3 linked regions of the Ovis aries genome follow. The protein of the gene in region 2 interacts with the protein of the main gene of each other region in a pairwise test. Links are inferred from orthologs where the notes say so. Each region holds a gene or a part of one and is shown on either strand. Other genes may lie near its edges. The genes, in order: myosin-7, MYBPC3 and ACTC1.

What was found.
Region 1: the proteins of MYBPC3 (region 2) and myosin-7 interact in a two-hybrid assay, tested with the Homo sapiens proteins (2 studies listed by IntAct). The link is inferred for Ovis aries from reciprocal best matches to the Homo sapiens genes MYBPC3 and MYH7.
Region 3: the proteins of MYBPC3 (region 2) and ACTC1 interact in a two-hybrid assay, tested with the Homo sapiens proteins (2 studies listed by IntAct). The link is inferred for Ovis aries from reciprocal best matches to the Homo sapiens genes MYBPC3 and ACTC1.

The regions. Positions count from the first base shown.
Region 1 is NC_056060.1:21,310,538-21,314,186, forward strand, and holds part of myosin-7, read left to right. Parts: intron 1-187; coding exon 188-443; intron 444-1,027; coding exon 1,028-1,270; intron 1,271-1,416; coding exon 1,417-1,593; intron 1,594-2,400; coding exon 2,401-2,546; intron 2,547-3,649. UniProt on the Homo sapiens protein: Myosins are actin-based motor molecules with ATPase activity essential for muscle contraction. Forms regular bipolar thick filaments that, together with actin thin filaments, constitute the fundamental contractile unit of skeletal and cardiac muscle.
Region 2 is NC_056068.1:76,122,770-76,126,854, forward strand, and holds the start of MYBPC3 (myosin-binding protein C, cardiac-type), read right to left. Parts: upstream 2,887-4,085; 5' UTR 2,832-2,886; coding exon 2,807-2,831; intron 1,723-2,806; coding exon 1,456-1,722; intron 887-1,455; coding exon 773-886; intron 695-772; coding exon 602-694; intron 511-601; coding exon 362-510; intron 1-361. UniProt on the Homo sapiens protein: Thick filament-associated protein located in the crossbridge region of vertebrate striated muscle a bands. In vitro it binds MHC, F-actin and native thin filaments, and modifies the activity of actin-activated myosin ATPase.
Region 3 is NC_056060.1:28,471,748-28,474,596, forward strand, and holds the end of ACTC1 (actin, alpha cardiac muscle 1), read right to left. Parts: intron 2,826-2,849; coding exon 2,664-2,825; intron 2,536-2,663; coding exon 2,344-2,535; intron 1,562-2,343; coding exon 1,380-1,561; intron 853-1,379; coding exon 709-852; 3' UTR 522-708; downstream 1-521. UniProt on the Homo sapiens protein: Actins are highly conserved proteins that are involved in various types of cell motility and are ubiquitously expressed in all eukaryotic cells.

The sequences.
Region 1 (3,649 bases), on a different chromosome or scaffold from region 2:
GGAGAAAGAGCACCCCAGACCTTCAAGTGACAAAGGGCCACAACACAGCTACAAACACCAGTGGTGGGCGTGGGGGCTGGGGGTGGTGCCTCGCTGTCACAGTGCAGGATGGATGGAGGAGCCAGGGCCTCTGGGCCGGAAGGAGGGAAGAGGCTGTCTCACTGACCTTCTCACTCGGCCCCTGCAGAGACTCCCTGCTGATTATCCAGTGGAATATTCGGGCCTTCATGGGAGTCAAGAACTGGCCTTGGATGAAGCTCTTCTTCAAGATCAAACCACTGCTGAAGAGCGCAGAGACAGAGAAGGAAATAGCCACCATGAAGGAGGAGTTTGGGCGCCTCAAAGAGGCTCTGGAGAAGTCGGAGGCTCGGCGCAAGGAGCTGGAGGAGAAGATGGTGTCCCTGCTGCAGGAGAAGAATGACCTGCAGCTCCAAGTGCAGGCGGTGAGAGCCCCAGGCCTCTGCCCACATCTCCCACACCCCCTGCACCTCCCTACCTGGGGGCTCACCATCCTGTGCCCTCACAGGCGGAGGATTCTGGAATTAACACTTCCAAAGTCCTCCAAAGAAAGGGAAGGGGAGAAAGCATTAACTTAAAAATACAGGTTTTCCATCAGGATTTAACCTGGATCCATAGCTTAATAATTCTGTGACTTGAGGCAAATGATGTGTTATCTCTGGGTCTCCATGTCCTTATCTCTAGACAGGGAATAAAGTTGCCCTTCTCACCAGGCTGTAAATATGTAAAGTGCTGGCATCAACAAATACAGTTCCCTCCCCTTTGATGGAGGAGACCAGAGGAAGAGGGCCAGATAAAGAGACTTCTGGTTCCCTTCCTCTCTGCTCTCATTCCCCAGTGCTCCTGTCACATTGCCCTAAAACTCCTCCCCTCCCCATCCCTCTGAGGTTCTTCTCAGCTGGGGAGATCCTGGGGTTTCCCTCTTACAGTGAAGGTGGAGCCTGTCCCTCCAAGCTTTTGCCATCCACCCCATCCACCGAATAGCTTCCCCTCTGCACCTTGCCCTCAGGAACAAGACAACCTGGCTGATGCGGAAGAGCGCTGTGACCAGCTGATCAAGAACAAGATCCAGCTGGAGGCAAAGGTGAAGGAGATGACCGAAAGGTTGGAGGACGAGGAGGAGATGAACGCTGAGCTCACTGCCAAGAAGCGCAAGCTGGAAGATGAGTGCTCTGAGCTCAAGAGGGACATTGATGACCTGGAGCTGACCCTGGCCAAGGTGGAGAAGGAGAAGCACGCAACAGAGAACAAGGTGAAGGCAGCTCCCTTTGAATCCAGACCAAGTCTCAGGATTCCCAGACCTGAGCGTGGTCCTGGCTCTTGGCCTTGGAGGTCTCCATAGATGTCTCCAAGTTGGTGATGTCTGACCCTGGGGGGGATGGGGTTCTTGGCCAACAGGTGAAGAACCTGACAGAGGAGATGGCTGGGCTGGATGAGATCATCGCCAAGCTGACCAAGGAGAAGAAAGCTCTGCAAGAGGCCCACCAGCAGGCCCTGGATGACCTTCAGGCTGAGGAAGACAAGGTCAACACCCTGACCAAGGCCAAGGTCAAGCTGGAACAGCATGTGGACGATGTAAGTACACTATCACAAGGGTCTAGATGTACCAGGTCTGTCAGTGTCTGTGTGTGCATATGTGTGTTTGGGGGAGTGGGGTTAGAGAGTGTTCCTCTCCTGATACCTTTTAGAAGGGAACTGGGGAATAGACAAGGAGAGGGGTGATCAATTCAGAGTTATGTATCTCACCTTGCTGATGTGATCAAGAGTAGAGATAGGCTTCTTTATTTCACTTTAGGTTCAAGCCTATATGTCTCCATTCAACCACGGAATTTAGAGGGTTATCTCATAAGAACATGATGAATTTCCTTGGGAATTTTGTGAAGATCCTCAAGGAGGATCTTTGGACTTCTAATGGTTTAGCCAGGATCTGGTCCTCAGTGATCACTGCTCCCATAGGTAGTCCTTCGAGTACACCTCTACTGAATCATTCTTTATCGCTCTGTGTCATCATTATTGAAGTATGGGTCCCATCCATAGACTGGAAGCTGCCTTTAGGTGGAACTTGGTTTTATTCAGTTTTGCATCTGCAGTGCCTAGGATGGGGCCTGGACCCCAGTAGGTGCTTACAGGATGCAGATGATTAAATGAAAGTAGCTTTGGGATTTTATCCTATAGTCATTCATTCAGTAATTTATCAGAGTTACTGAGCATCCCTCCGTGGTAGGCGCTCTCACAATGCCCTGGCCACATTTGGCCAATTCTGGGGAAGTATTCCCAAGTCTTGACACCTCTAAGGATCCCTCAGCCCCAGAAAGAACGAGCTCCTAAATTATCAAGTCAGGATACTTGGCCTAAGGTCACACTGGTCCTTCTCTTCATCAGCTGGAGGGATCCCTGGAGCAGGAGAAGAAGGTGAGAATGGACCTGGAGCGAGCCAAGCGGAAGCTGGAGGGTGACCTGAAGCTGACCCAGGAGAGCATCATGGACTTGGAGAACGACAAGCAGCAGCTGGATGAGCGGCTCAAAAAGTAGCGTGTTCCCTGCCCCATCACCCATCCTCCTCCCCCACCCGCAGCCTGGTCCACTCATGGAAGTACTAGCTGACCCGACAGATCCATCCTCAGAGGCAACAGCCTCATGCAGCGTCCATAAGGGGGTGCAAAACTGTGGGCAGAGCCTCCAGGAAGAGAGCTTTCCTCCCCCAGACACACACATGAGGGCCCAGCAGGCCTCCCTGGCAAAAGTCTAACCCAGATCCCTCCAGCCCTCTCTTCCTGCTGGGCACTCGCCCCCTTTATACACAAGTCTCTTTGGAGACCAGTTGCATAACACAGAGGAAAGTTCCACACAAAAGCCTCTCAGGAAAGTCCTCTGAGGTCCTTCACAGAGAGCCCAGAGGACCACAGAGAAACGTGGTCAGCCACCACGTGTGAGCAGTGCAGGGTCTGGCTACTTCTTTGTTCAATGATCTTCTGGTTCCAATTCTTATTGCAAGACCTTCCAAAATGTGTAGATACACATTTCACACTTGGCAAAGAGTGAGTCTGCGCACATATTCATACAATCAAAGATCTTCTGTTGCTTTAGGGTCAGGACTCTGAAAGGCTCTGAGACTCATCCTGATCAACAGCCTCCCCAGAAAGTCTTCACACGTACCCAGGCACAGTACTTGTTGAATGAATGACTATATGAACCCACTGATCCTCAAGCGACCTTTTAAGAATGGTACTTGAACCCCACTTACCAAAGAGGAAAGGAAGGCTTGGAAAGCTTACCAAATTTCCCAAAGTAACAGACACAGAATTAAAGACCATCAGAGCTAAAAGGTGCCTTTGAGTCGGTCTAGTCCAATGCCCTCATTTTACAGACCAAAGAAGGGAGCATCTCGGAGCCCAGGTCCTGTCTCTCCACCTACAGTGCTCTTCCTGTTGTACTTCCTATTGAATTTCAATCCTCCAGCAGGTGTTACACTTTCAAGGACCCTACAACAGCCCTGGAAGCTGGTTATTGTTGGTTTTTTTTTTCCACGAAATCCTGCTCCTCATTTGTTTCATTACCATCTCCAACCACTGGCAGCCCCTCTTTGAGCCCGATCAGCCTTCCTTGCCTCACGGTCCCTTCTTCCTCACAG
Region 2 (4,085 bases):
CCCCTGGAAGAGGAAATGGCAACCCACTCCTGGGAAATCCCATGTATAGAGGAGCCTGGCGGGCTACAGTCCATGGGGTCGCAAAGGTCGGATGCGACTGAGCGCACCCCTGAGACTATCACGCCTCTGAGCCCCCATGTCCTTCTATGCCCCCCAATAACCCTCCTCGGAGCCTCGCCAAGCTCGCTGTGTGCCGCTGACCCCCCAACCAGCTTTGCAGGCTTTCCACGACCCTGCTCTGCACCTCCCCTGTGGCTCAGGTCTCACAGTGCCCCCTGCCTCTCTGTGCCCCTGGGCCTTCCAGGGGCTCTCCACGTGCCCTCGCGGTGCGTCCCCGTGACCCTGCGCCCGCGGACCCCACCTTGCTGGTCCGATCGTAGCTGTCGCGCAGCTGTAGGTGCTGCCCCACCTTGCTGCTCAGGTCCACCCACTTGCCCTTGAACCACTTGACCACGGGCGGTTTCAAGAGGCTGGCTCCGGCCACGCGGGCCGAGAAGGTGATGTTGCCACCTGCAGGAGAGGGGCGACCGTCTGGGCTTGGGGGACGCCCTGGACCTCCGTCCCCTCTCCTCGCCCCCGGGGGCAACAGCCCCGCACTCACCCACGGTCACCTCGCCGTCCTGTGGCCTCATCACAAAGAGGCCGATGGGGTCGCCAGGGGCACTGGGGCCCTCAGGGGCCGCTGAGCTGGACCCTGTGGGCAGAGGCGTTTGAGACCTGCCCTGGGACACCCCCATCCACAGACCCGGCCTCCCTGCCCCACTCCTCTCACCTTCAGGACTAGGGGCGCCTGCTTCCACCTCAGGGGCAGAGGTTGGGGCCTCTCCCAGGGCTGCAGGGGCCTCGGTGGGGGCGGGAGCAGGGGCTGACACAGGCTCTGCTTTCCCTGGAGGGGATCAGGTCGGGGGTTGTGGAGCAGCTTCTAATCAGAGTCGCCCTGCCCCCCGCCCCAGTTATCTTGTCCCTGGTCCTTCCCATCTTTGCAGGAAGTCCATCCAGCCTGCGTTTGACCTTCTCCCTGCCCTCACCAGCTCTCTGTGCCCTCATCTCAGAGGGTCGGCCTGAACATCCCTCCTCTCCTTCTCCAGGCTCGGGTCTTGGTCCAGCCCGTCAGGCTGGGCTGGGGCTCGGCACACACCCACAGGTTTGTGGGGCTTCCCTGCCAGCACACCCAGCCCACCAAGTTCCCATCCGTGTGGGGGTGTCCAGCGGGAGGTCAGTGTTACGTCTGACTCATCTCTGAACTTCCCCCACCTCCAGAACGGCCCAGATGGGCCAGGGAGCCTCGCGGGGACACTCAGAAAGGTCTTGCTACAGAAAACGGGAAAAGGCCACGGCGGGCTGAAGGCTCACCCAGGGCCAAGGCAAGAAAGTGGGAAGACAGCTCCTGTGCGGTGATGGACAGAGAGCTGGAGGGGCTGCTCCAATTTCAGGGAAGGCTGCCCTGACGCTTACCTGCGTCTACGACCTTGAGGTCAAACTTGACCTTGGAGGAGCCAGCAATGACTGCGTAGGAGCCCTGGTCGGCGGGACCCGCGTCCCGCACTGTCAGCGTGTGCCGCGTGCCCTCGGCTGCCAGGCCGTATTTCTCGCTGGCGCTGATGTCGCTGCCCACCCGCTGCCAGCGCACCTTCAGGCCCGCCCGCTCTGTCTCGGCCTCAAACACGGCAGGGCTGCCGGCAGCCACTTCTGCGGACCGCGGCTTCTTGCTGAAGGCGGAGACTGAGGGGCCGATGGAGTTTGCAGGGGTCCCTGGCTTGCCCCTGCACCCCATTCCTACATCCCCTCTTATTAAATAAGGTGATGAGCGCTTTAATGGATCACCTCATTTAATGCTCCAGTGGCTCTACAAGGTAGGTGCAGTTATCCCCAGAGGAGGTCTCTGAGGCTCAGAGAAGTTAAGTGACTTACCCAAGATCACACAGCCAGGAAGTGGGAGAGCCAGGCCTGAGGAATTTTGCTAGGTGTGTCCCTGAAGAGCCCACCCTCTCTGCCTGTGGAAGCCCAACCCCCACCAGTTGGGGCCTTTGGCAAGGGGCCAGCATTCTGCCTACTTGGACATGGCTAAATTTGTCCTCTAAGGGCCTGGGGCTGGGAATCAGCAAGTGAGATAAAGCTGGACTGGGAGAGGGCTGGGGCTGGGGGGCTGATCCCTGACCTGGACAACCTTGGAAGGCCAGGGCGGGGACTCCAGGCTGTGACTTTCTCTGCCCTTGGTGGTGGCTCAGGGACCTCTTGCCCACCCTCTCCCCAGAGCAGAGGCCCTGCATCACTTCAGTGTGGGGGCTATGCCTGGTGTGGGGGCCACAGGGGCGCAGGCTGGCAAAGCAGAGACTCTCAGAACAGGAAGCAACCCACCAAAGCCCTCTTTGTAGAGTTGGGGAAACCGAGACCCAGAAAGGGGAGGGGCCTGTCCAAGGTGTTCAGGGAGACAGACTTGAGTCTGGAGCCATCCTGGGGTGCCTCCTGCGGCAGTCTTTCCCCAAAAGGCAAGCCGGGACCTAACCTTGCTGCAGAAGATGGGGATGCAGGCAGGGAAGGGGTTACCTGGCATCCTGAGAGTGGGGCGATGGCCCTGGGGGCTTCCTGCCTTGGCTGTCTCCCCGTCTGGGCCCCTGACCCTGGTTTACCCTCACTCTCATCAGAACGATGAGAAGGAGAAACTGAGAATTGAAAAAGGACCCAGGAGGACAGAGGCCCTGTCCTGGGAACCCCTCAGGAGCTCATTCCTGGGCCCACCCCCAACCGAGGATGTCCGCAGCCCTCCATGCCCCACGATTGGCCCCCAGCCCAGGCCTGGAGCTACCTGGTTTCTTCCCTGGCTCAGGCATCTTGAGAGAGGTCACAGCAGGAACCCAGCAGGCACAGGCCACCCAAAGAGACTCTGAGCAGGGCTCCGGTCCCCGACTATATAAGGGGCCGCCCCCTCTCCAGACCTTCCTTATCTGCACCCTGCCCGGCCACCTGCTAAATATAGACAAATTCCCGAGATCAAGGGCTCTCCAGGAGAATGTGTGGCCCTGGCTTTCTCTGCTGGCCCCTGGCCCCTCCCCCTCCTCCACCAACCCCACAGGACAGATTCTGCCCCCCAACCCTCAGTGAACACAGGGGCACCCCAAGCCCTGTCCGTGTGTCCTTGTGACAGGCAAATTGAGCGGTGGGAGTGTGCGGGGCCCAGAACCCTGAAGCTGTCAGGTCAGAGGCATCCATGTCGGGTGATGGTTACACCCACAGACCCCGAGTCCCAGCTTCCCTCAGTGTCCTTCTGAACCCCCGCAACTGCCTCCACACCCCACACCCCGCCAAAGTCGCAAAGAACGTCAGCCTCTACATAGAAAGGAGCAAATCACATGTGACCTACTGTGAGCAAGACCCACTATCAGGGAAGGTCATTTGCTCCGCCCCTCAACTGTCAGGAGCAAGGAATTCTATATACAAGCATTGTCCGTGTGGTCAACACTTGCCATCCCTTTCAACATAAATCCATTCTCTTCTGCCATTTTAACCACGTTTAAACTGCATCTCATGTCCCTGGGCCGTCTTTCAAAAGGCATCGGGACTTTGGGACTTCCCCGGTGGTCCAGGAGTTAGGACTCTGCGCTTCCACTGCTGGTGGCCAGGTTCAGTCCCCGGTCGGGGGACCAAGATCCCATATGACACAGCCAAATATTTAAAATAAATTAATCCATAAAAATTCAGAGACTGAGCTCGGGGCTCAGAGATCCATGGAGGGGGCTTATGGTTGAGTTTCCCCAGCCTGAGGGCTCAGGGCACTCCAGAGGGTGTCTGCCCCAACACAAATGGCCCCAGAATCTGGATTCTCTGAGGTCTGTGGGTTGCTGATGAGAGTTCCCTCACTCCCAGGCTGCCGGCCGCCTCTTCTTGCTACTGTTGGAAGCAAAACCCTTACAAGTCTCATGGCTCATGTTTTTCTGCCTCTCCCCTGCTGTGGGCCAGAGGCCAGCACAACCAGGCACCAGGGTACGTGGGAGGAGTTCTCTTGTGTCAGGGTCCTGCCAGCAGGGATTCCATGAGCTGCTCTGCTGCTTACCGGAGCTCTGGGGCTTCATTCTTGCTCCTGGTCA
Region 3 (2,849 bases), on a different chromosome or scaffold from region 2:
TCACAAAAATAGCTGGAACATGTGCTAAAACCACAATTTTCAGTGTTATCATAGAAACTAATCTTCACAAGCTGTATTCTCCAATCCATTTCTCACTAATGTGGACCTAAACCTAATCACACTAATGAAATGACAGAGGATGAGATGGTTGGATGGCATCACCAACTCAATGGACATGAGTTTGAGCAACCTCTGGGAGTTGGTGATAGACAGGGAACCCCGGCATGCTGCAGTTCATGGGATCACAGAGTCAGACATAATGGAGCAACTGAACTGAACTAAAAACCTAATCTGCTTTTCAGATATAAATTATCTTCATGATTCTGTCCCAAAGGGTAAAATCAAAATTTAATATTGTAGCTCCCAGCTCAAAGTCACGCTGATGAACGGATGTGGTGCTGTGATATTACAAAGCTCATGGTATCAAGGCCATCAGTATACAAGCTCACAGACTGAGTAAGCAAACCTTGGCCCCATCCCACTCCTTCCCCAAACCCCAAACAGAAATAAGAAATGCTTGCTTTTGTAGGTTGCAAGTCCTGATCTGGTTTATTTATAAAGCAATAAATATTAGAAGCACAAATAAATTGCACGTGTGTAAACAAACTGTACAATGATTGATGAGAGATGAGGGAGGGTGGTTCAGAAGACTCCAAAAAGCATCATACCATCATCCTGAATGTAATGTAGACTAAGAGAGAAGGCACCTCAGAAGCACTTGCGGTGGACGATGGAGGGGCCTGCCTCATCATACTCTTGCTTGCTGATCCACATCTGCTGGAAGGTGGACAGGGAGGCCAGGATGGAACCCCCAATCCAGACAGAGTACTTACGCTCAGGAGGAGCAATAATCTGCAAAAGGAAAGCAAAAACTGCCAGTGAACTCTGAGGTTCCAAGCAACAGAGTAAGCAACATGGTGGGGAGATTCACGGAAAATACACCGGTGATCAAGTCACTGTAATGTGATACAAATGAATAAGCCCAGTAATCCTACAAATGAATATGGTTGACTCACAATGAAAGCATTTTTCTCTATTTCATCATTTCATGATCAAAGACTCTGTGAAGTAGAAGTTTCCCACTTCTCTGAACCAGAGAATATGCGGCAATAAGCTATAGGCATGGTGAAGCCTAGCCTGAAAGTTGGGGTCTTTTAAAATATGTTCAAAGATTCAGATTTTTTTTTTTCTCAAAGATTTATTTTTATCCACTGCTCTAAAGTGTTTTAAAATCTCCTATCTTGGGGAAAGTGCCAGTAAAGTCAGAAAAGGTGCTATAAAAGCAAAAGGTTTCTGTGAGACAGGAAGCTATTTGTGTGAGGGGAAAGGAGTTAGGAATTCTGCTTGGTTGCCCCCACCCCACCACAGAAGTTCTTTACCTTGATTTTCATGGTGCTGGGAGCCAGGGCAGTGATTTCCTTTTGCATGCGATCAGCAATACCAGGGTACATGGTGGTGCCTCCGGATAAGACATTGTTGGCATACAGGTCCTTGCGAATATCAATGTCACATTTCATGATGCTGTTGTAAGTCGTTTCATGGATGCCAGCTGATTCCATACCTATGAACAAGTTTTTAAAAAGTCACAGTGCATTCAGGCCATGGAGCCAGGGTGGAGGAAAGAGAACAAGACTCCTCTGTGTTGGTAAACTGTCACCATTCGTCTCTGAAACATATGTTCCTCTATGAGATACACTGCAGAGTTTTGAGGAACAGGTGTCTTAAAAGTGCTGAGAGTAATCTACAACAGACTGCCAAGACACAAACAACTGCTTTTAGCACCTGTTTGGAGGGAACACTCGCTGTACCCATCAGAGCCATGAAGACGTAATAGAAAAGCACGAGACACACATTCATGTGAAATGAATGTCATTCTTATTTATGGGCTAAAATAAGATACTGACAAGCTTCCTCTTGGAAATCCCTGCTTAGGAAAGATGTTCAGTGACACGTGAGTGTCCAGTTATTACCATCAGTAGGATTGTTGTCACACTTCATAATGAATGACTTGGAAGTACGGTCTAGCTACTTGGTGATGGAATATACCAGAATAAGTCAGCACTCTTGAGTCATCGTCTCTTCCTTGCAGATATGGATTATTCAGTTACTACTCTATCTCATTCCTCGTTTCAAGATGAAGCCGGTGTGTCATCCTTTATCATATCATTGCTGCAGAGGAGGAATGGCCATCCCAGCAAAAGCCATTGGGACCTGAGGCTGAACTGTGTGGGTCTCCCAGCTATGACTACTTTCAACACAAGGGCCCCTTAATCATTGTTGATTATAATAGATTTTTCTCTGGAAGCCCCAAGCTGTGTTTCTGCACCAGACCAGACAACTCACCAATGAAGGAGGGCTGGAAGAGCGTCTCAGGGCAGCGGAAGCGCTCATTGCCAATAGTGATGACTTGGCCATCAGGCAGTTCATAGCTCTTCTCCAGAGAGGAGGAAGAAGCAGCTGTAGCCATCTCATTCTCAAAATCCAGAGCAACATAGCACAGCTTCTCTTTAATGTCACGAACAATCTCTCGCTCAGCTGCAGAAAAAAAGAGGGTCACCAGTAAGCTCTGAAGAATGACATCAGCTTTGGAGAGGTAGGTGGGTTCACTGGTGGAGGAGAAAACCAGACACCTACTGTGGCAGATGAAACACACACAGACTCACCGGTGGTGACAAAGGAGTAGCCGCGCTCAGTGAGGATCTTCATGAGGTAATCCGTGAGATCCCGACCAGCTAGATCCAGACGCATGATGGCGTGGGGCAAGGCATAGCCCTCATAGATGGGGACGTTGTGGGTCACACCATCCCCAGAGTCCAGAACGATGCCTATCAGAGGCAGTAGGCAAAAAC